Rattus norvegicus: one gene and its partner. The protein of the gene in region 2 purifies or fractionates together with the protein of the main gene of each other region. This does not show direct contact. Links are inferred from orthologs where the notes say so. Each region holds a gene or a part of one and is shown on either strand. Other genes may lie near its edges.

The links.
Region 1: the proteins of Exosc5 (region 2) and Zfc3h1 purify together in Homo sapiens (affinity purification with mass spectrometry; 3 studies listed by BioGRID and IntAct, with this or other methods). This does not show direct contact. The link is inferred for Rattus norvegicus from reciprocal best matches to the Homo sapiens genes EXOSC5 and ZFC3H1.

The regions. Positions count from the first base shown.
Region 1 is NC_086025.1:52,892,870-52,897,242, reverse strand, and holds the start of Zfc3h1 (zinc finger C3H1 domain-containing protein), read right to left. Parts: upstream 2,827-4,373; coding exon 2,211-2,826; intron 1-2,210. Other genes in the region: Thap2 (THAP domain-containing protein 2), read left to right, coding at 3,705-3,775. UniProt on the Homo sapiens protein: Subunit of the trimeric poly(A) tail exosome targeting (PAXT) complex, a complex that directs a subset of long and polyadenylated poly(A) RNAs for exosomal degradation. The RNA exosome is fundamental for the degradation of RNA in eukaryotic nuclei.
Region 2 is NC_086019.1:90,302,176-90,305,629, reverse strand, and holds the end of Exosc5 (exosome complex component RRP46), read right to left. Parts: intron 3,226-3,454; coding exon 3,085-3,225; intron 2,314-3,084; coding exon 2,224-2,313; intron 911-2,223; coding exon 818-910; 3' UTR 583-817; downstream 1-582. UniProt on the Homo sapiens protein: Non-catalytic component of the RNA exosome complex which has 3'->5' exoribonuclease activity and participates in a multitude of cellular RNA processing and degradation events.

The DNA of each region.
Region 1 (4,373 bases), on a different chromosome or scaffold from region 2:
TATTCATCTAGGACACTGTGCTAGCTAACTGTGTTAAGGCTCATCTGATTTCCTTTCCAAGTTTAAAATGGCAGTTATCCCTGGGAAGCTGATGCAAGTTGACTGCCATAGCTTTGAGCCAGCTGGGCTACATACTGAATTCCAAAGTAGCTACAAAGTGAACCCATGTCTCTAAACAACAATAGAAAAAACTGAAACAGAATCTTGTCTATTCTGTTTTCTTTGAAACTGCACATAATGTATCCTATTTAAGTTATAAAACAGTAACAATAGCCAAAGCTTATCCTCCAGATGTTTCATTTCTAAATCATTTAAGTGAGTCAGAATTGCACTCAATCTTTTCTAGGCAATATTTGTAAAGTAGCCATTTTTATAATCACAGAAGACATGTGAATTAAGCTGAGTATGATACAGATATTAAAAATGTGGAAAAAGCTTTGTTTCCAAGTTTTATTTGCTCACATTATACAAAGAGGTTGGGAACTACATTTTCCTTTTCAAATTATGAAGAACAATACCTATATGGTGGTTTACTTATATCTCATAAGAACAATAATGCAGAAAATCAAACCAAGCATCTTGTTCTTAAAGTGCTGTATCTATAAAACAATCAGCAAGACAGCTGATTTGTAAGAAGCTGTCAGGGCAATCAAAACCACATCCCACACTGGATGTTTACCGACACTCTTTCTGCAATAAGTACATAAACATTCATATGAGGCAGAATCCCCAAATAGTAGCACACAAACAGAAGAAAAGGCGAGGGCAGGAGGTAGCAGGCCTAATCACCACACCTTCCTAAAGCAGAGAGATGCAGATATTCTCTGATACAAATTACAAATTTTCACCTAGGTAACCTTAAAAAACATGTTTATATACATATTTAAATATCCTTTGATTTTTTAATTCAGAAAAGAGAAAAAAAGTCCGTGGATGGCTCATGTTTGCATACAATCATGAGTAAAGGTTTTCTAATCTTCATTTAAAAAATTCACCATCTCTTAAAAGGTTACCTACCTGTGATTTTTCTCCAAAACCATCTTGAGTTGCTTCTAAAACAATGATAGGTGATAGAAGTAAAAGCTTTTTTGGGACACAGAAACCAAAATCTGTTGTTACTTTATATTTTCCTTGCTCACTTAACATCATGCCATCTGGGAAAAGCACATCTGGCCTAAAGTTCTCCATAAAGATAATTTCGAGTATCTTCCGATTAAGTGTCAGATGTAAACTTTATAGAAAATCTATTAAACATCATTACATCATGGGAATTATAGCTAGTAATGAAACTATTTTAAAGAGTAGAAGTCAGGATATATAAATCCCTAAGAAAACAGGAAAGCTTTGGACGATTAATTTCTTAACATAAATCCTGAGTAAACTTAGTAATGTTAAAGATAACTGGGAATAATGTGAGAGGGAGCAAAACTTAGGACATTTCTTCCCCACCAGTCCATTCGCTATACATCTCTCCTTCTCTAACACATTAAATTAAAAGTGCTGGCAAGTTTAAGTTTCTCTGACCTACATGTTGGCAGCACGAAGAGTTATAGAACCAAAGAGTGAACATAGGAAAGTGAACTTAATGCATATAGCCTTCCAAAGTACTTATGAATATAAAAGACCTAAATAGTAAAAATAGTAAAATAAATAAATAAAGGATCTACACACTCGCGTACACATACACACCACAATGGGCCGCAATAAGAACGAATAACTCTAGGTTAAGAAAAAAAAAATCAAAAGAACGGTAAAATTACAGAGGAAAACTTCATGAACTCTAATGTCAGGACGCAATATAAGTAACAGTATTCCTCCGGAGTACTTCTTTTCTCTAATAATCTATGTCGATGTCCTATTAAACACGAAATTCCAGGGCTAGCAAAAAAAAAAAAAGAAAAAAGAAAAAAAAACCAAGCAAACAAACAAAACTGCACAAATACTAATGAAATTTGGACTGCTGGTGTCCCGTTAAAAACCCAGACTGTATTTGATCTCCCTGGCTGACCCGAATCCATGACACGCTCCGATCCAAAAGCAACGCATCCAGTGAAACAACCTACGAAAATAGCGGTGGAGTGTGACACATGACAACTGCCGACGAACAGAGACAAATGAGTGGTTCTGAAAAGTTAAACTCCGGGACCTAGCAATGACGCCAAAGGGAGCTCCGGCGACACACCCAGGGCGGACCGCCACGTTAAGGATACAGCTCTTGCGAGGTGGAGAGGGTTCTCGCCAGCTCTGGCTGCTGCCGAATCCGGATCCCGCTCCTCCTCCTCCTCCTCCTCCTCCTAAAGGAGGTCTGCACCCCGGCTTGCCTCCTCGCTCACCCACTCCTCGCCCCCGACTCCAGCGACTCCCACCCCGGTAAGGCCTGCCTCGAAAGCGGAAACGGTCCAAAGCTATGTGGCTCCGCTCCCAGAACGACGGTCGGGGGCTGCTTTCCGACAGGGACCCCGAAGACATCCGAACCGGGGGCGGATGAGTCCGGAACGGTTCTTTGGGTCGGTAGCTGCTGTGTCCCCTGAGGTGGCCCCGCTCAGACGGGTGCCGCGAGCGTGAGAAATTCCTCAGCTGCTGCTGAGAAGAGGACGAGGACGACGAGGAGCCGCCGCCTCCCCCAGATCCGCCGCCCCGGGTCGGGTGAGGAGGCCTCCGCCGCGGATACGGTAACAGCCCGCCGCCGCTGCTGCTGGTGCTGCTGCTCCGGCTCCGGATTTGGCTGTTGTTATCGTCGTCGCTGATCTCCCCATCTTCGAGCTCCCCTTCTTCTTTCGGTGAGAGGCCGCTAGAGGCCGGGGTCGAAGTGTCGGCGGTCGCCATCCGGGGAGCAGCGCTGTCCACACTACCTTAAGCCCTCTGTCCGGGGACCGCCCGACAGCTGCCTTCCCCTTACTCCTCCGCCCTCTGTCCTAACGGACCCGGCAGGCGCGGCCTTCCCGTGTTCGGACGCCTAGCAGGTTCTGCTCCCCAACTTCCCCGCACCCCAGATCTCTCTCGCCGGACCGTCGCTAGCCAGTTCCCTCTCCTAGCGCCCCCTTGCTGCTCTTCCGCCTCGCGAGAAAGGCTCTGTGGAAGGAGGCTGTGTCCCGATCGTCATTTCCTGCGACACGCCGGAAGGCGAAAGCTAAGTGTCGCGAGAACAGGCTTTGTAGACCAGCGATGTTCGCTGGGATTTGTAGTCTCCTCTTGCTCCCCGCTTCGTCCTTGGTCCCTGCGGTCTTAACCGTCCCTAGCACCCGGTCTGAGGTGACAGGGGTCAGTGTCCCGGTAGCGGGCCTGCTCTTCAGCCGCAGGCCTGAGTTTCAGAGTAATTTGTCGGTGTGGAAGACACCTGTCATCATCTCATTCATTGCAAGGGCACCCCTATCAGAGACGCAGTATACCGAGTGTCTTTGGGACCCCGGGAAGTGGGGAGCGGGAGGGGGAAGAGGGGCAGGTGTGGCCGCCATGTTGGTGAAGGCTACCGTTTGCGCCGAGAGCTCCAGCACGTTGGCTCTGCAGGCCTAAAACCGCCATATTAATAAAGAAAAAGGGGAGTGCGGCCTCCCTCCCACTTCGGTACTGTGCACGCCCCTCTTCCCACCCCGCTCTCTGCGCGGAGCTTGTCGCCTGCCTCGTTTGTCTAGCGTTTGACAGAAGCTTAGCGGGCAGCGCCTCAGAACTGGCGTAAGGTAGCGCCGAATGAGGGGCCGGGGGAAATGCCGACCAATTGCGCCGCGGCGGGCTGTGCTGCTACCTACAACAAGCACATTAACATCAGCTTCCACAGGTAACCTGGGCAGGGAGTGGGGTGGCGGGAACGGGAGCCTAACCGGCCTGAGTCTCGGTCGCGTCAAAAGAACAAGGTCCTCTGACTTTAGTTAGCAGGGGAGCATCACTCTTGTCCTTTGTGTGTGGTTTCTCACATCTGGAAACATTTGCTCCTTTTCCGAGGAAAGTTTACCAAATTTGCAAAAAAAGAAAAGGAAAGAAAGAAAGATCGATCCGAGTTATTGTGACTGACACGCCTTACATTAAAAAGTGATGAATGTACTTTTATTTTCTACTCTTTTATTTTTATATCTTAGACCATGCCTTGAGAACAGTGACGCTATAAGGGAAAGCTCATTTCCCGTTCAAGCCAACAAATCACTCTAAAAGCCTGGTGTGTTCGAGTTAATTTTCACTAGTGGAATTGAGGTGGGAAACCTAAGAGTCACATATGGTAACTGACGAGTCAATCACTGACGGCCCTGTAATTAAGCAATGTTTATCAAAGAGGCAAACAGAAAGAAGCTCTCCTAAAACAGAATCACACACACACACACACACACACACACACACACACACACACACACACACACAATCTAGGTTTTGTTTTTCCTTGG
Region 2 (3,454 bases):
TCTTGTCTGTGACATCGTACATGAGGACGGTATCACCCTGTTTCATGGGGTGCGGGATGTAATCCCCTTAAGCCCCCATGTGGACATCTCTTCCCTTTCCTCCTGCCCTTTCCTCCCACGTCAGCCAAGAGCTCACACCTTCCTCCTTCAGGGCAATCTCCAGCTGCTCTACGGTAAAGGCATCCTGATGCGGAATGAGCCCTTCCACCCCCTCAGGTTAACTGTCTCTGTGTGTGCAGAAGAGGAGGTCCGATCCCACGGCAGCTGAGCCACGTGGTTATGAGCTCCTGATGTGGGTGCTGGGAACTCAACCCTGGACCTCTGTAAGCAAAGGAAGTTCTCTTAATGGCTGAGCTCTCTCCAGATCACCTTCCTTTTAAAAGTAAGATGGTCTCATGGAGCCCAGCATGGCCTCAGACTCACTGTGCGGTGGGAAATGATCTCTACCTACCAAGTGGCAAGGACTACTGGCCACACCACCACACCCACCTCTTACCCTGGACCACGCGGCCTGGGTCTCTCGTTCACTGCAGCCCCTTGGCGCCAAGCAGGCTGCTGAATGAGTGCTCTGCAGACACCAGATCAGTGGCTACCGACTCACTCGCTCAACACAGGTGAGCCCTTTTTAATGGTGTCCTGGTGAAGAGAGGGTTGTACCCAGGCCTAGAATGTCCCTAAGCCCCTCCCTAGCCTGCCTCAGCAGCCCCTGCTGCGACAGGACCAGAGGCTACCTGGGCACAGACAGAGGCACAGTGGAGTGCTGGCTGCTGGCGGGTAGGCGGTGGGCGTGGTGGAGGGCGCCCTGCCCTGGCGGGCCTCAGCTCTTGGAGTAGCGCCTCTGCAGGGATTCTCGGTAGAAGCGGAAGATGTGCTGTGAGGCAGCTTGGGCGGCGGCCAGACACTGCTGGAGCTGGGAACGAGAAGCAAGTTAACCCCAAAGGAGTCCCCGAACCTACATCCTCCCCGGCCCTCCTATCACTCCTCACCACCAGGACAGCCATGTCCTTCCTCAGCACCTCCTCATTCCCACCCCACAATGAGACGCTTACATCATGGCGGCAACAATCACCCTGCCGCAGTCACTGTACGTCACTACTCCTGGCTTTGTATTGTGCCGGGGATGCGTGGGACAAACCCTCTACCAATTAAGCCACATCCTCAAGCCCCTAAGCCTGCTCCCTCTTTAATACATAAATCACAGTGCCTGAGCATGCCCTGTGGAGATTAAAGACCAAGTTGAAGGCGTTGGTTCTCTCCTTCTGCCATGGTGGTCCTGGGGACTGAAGTCAGCCGATTAGGCTTGGCAGCAAGCGTTTCTAATTTAGACCCGTCTTCCTAGCCCCTAAGTTTTTTCTTAATGAAATGAGATTAAGGGCTTTGGGGACCACACTCTTCATGAAAGCAACAGGACCTCGAATCCCTGAGATCAGAATCCTCACGCCTTAAAGAACTCAAAGAATTGGAGAGCCTGAGAGGTAGAGGCATAACCCTTTAACCTTCACGTCTTTTGCTGTTATTTGAGACAGGATCTTGCCATGTAGCCCAGGTTGGCCTGGAACTATATATGTAGCTCAAGATGATCTCAGACTTAGCAGCTCTCCTAACTTACGGCCTGCTGAGCGTGACTAGACAGACCTGCCTGGAGCCTCTGCTCTCTTTTTGAGACAAGTTTTTACTACATAGTCCAGGCTGGCCTGGAACTCACACCAGTCCTTCTGCCCCAGCCTCTGAAGTGTTTTGATCACAGCTGTCAGCCCCCAAGCCCAACTCCAATAACTGTAAGAGCCATGAAATGAGAGATCTAAATCAAAAGAAATACAGGCACAGACCCCTTGGGAGCCCAGAATTCTAGAGGGCACTGTTCTGTGCTGACAACTGAATTCAAGCTGAATCCTGTTTTCTGATTTAACCTTTCAGGCTTTCCTTTAAAATGCTACAAAGGAGCATTTTTTTTTTTCTTCTTAAGACAGGATCTCAAAATGTTGCCCTGGCTGGCCTTGAATTCAGAACTATGCCTGCCTGTCTCCCCTGTGCTGAGATTAAACTTGTAGCCCAGAACCCTGTGCACACAGGGCAGGAACTTCAGGAACTAAGCCCTGAGAATGTGCCCTTCCCTGTCCCTTGCAGGGGATATAAAGAAGAGCCTGCTCTGAGCTGGGACAAGGCATTACAGCCAGCGATAGGAGAAAAGATTCTGGGTGGTGCCCCGCCCCACATGGGTACCTCTGCATCAGAATAGAGCCCCTTGGTGGCGGACATGAGCAGCTTCTGCTCCGCACTATCCAGAGCAAAGGTCAGAATGGCCCGGGCCTCCTAGGGACAAGAGGTAGAAGACTGTTAAGTATCCAGGGACCCTCCTTTCTAAGATCTCAGACAGTATCAAACAGGAGTAACTGGATCCTTAGCCTCTAGGTCAGCTGAAGCCCTCTGTCTACATACCAACCCATTCCTAGGTAACTGTTTATTTCTTTGCTCCTATGTCTCTATTCTGAGCAGTTTCCCTGTCCTACAGGGGAAACACAGTGCTGGTCATTTCCTGGCTGCCTCTCCAGCATCCTTCCTTGTTCTGTCCTACATAGGCAAGCCAAAGGCTCTCTTGCCATTAGGCTTTCCTGGTTATCTGATGGGATCCTGGGAAGCCTCCAGACAAGCATCCCGCTTCCCACTCAGGCAGCAGCAGTTGCAGCAAAAGCCACAAAGGTGAGGTGACTGCACCTTTTTCTGTGCCTGTATCTGCAACCCACTGCGATCCTGCTGAGGTCCAGCCACACTGCTAGGGTTTCCAATCACTTCATGTGAAGGGTGGGAAACGGGCTTCCCTGTCATCACCATCACACCAGCACAGGGCATAAGAACCAGAGCTCTGCTCTACGGTTGGGGAGTGAATGCTAGCAAGTTTCTTTTCTGGCTGGTGTAAGTCTGGCTTGAGATGGGTTTCTAGCACTTAAAGCTGAATGAGCCTTGACAAATAGGTCAGAACCCGCCAAGTGTGTCAAGGGTGCACAAGCCAACTGCCATGTTAGGGTCAGGCCTGGAGGCATTCTGAGCTGCAGCCCTTCACCAACACCAGCTTGCCACGCCTACCTTTTCTTGTTTGGTTGTGGGGTCCAGCACAAGATTGCCATCAGGGTCCAGGGCACAGGTGACCCCACAGAAGAGGGCTCGCATGGGCACGCCTGCATCCACCAATGCCATGCAGGCTGCATTCAGGCAACAGGCCAAGAGCTGGGCATCACGGACTGGTTAAGGAGAATGTCTGCTGTGGGGCTGGCCACTAGAACACGCTCACACTTCCTTTTTCCTGCTGATGCCTGCTGCAGACATCGCTGACTGACCACAGAGCAGCAGTGTGGCAGGGCGCATAGGTGGCACTGGCATCGAGTAGTGGCTGCTGCTGCTCCACACTGGGCCTTATTGCCTCTCTCCCAGCTGTAAGATTGTCTGGTTTTCTAAG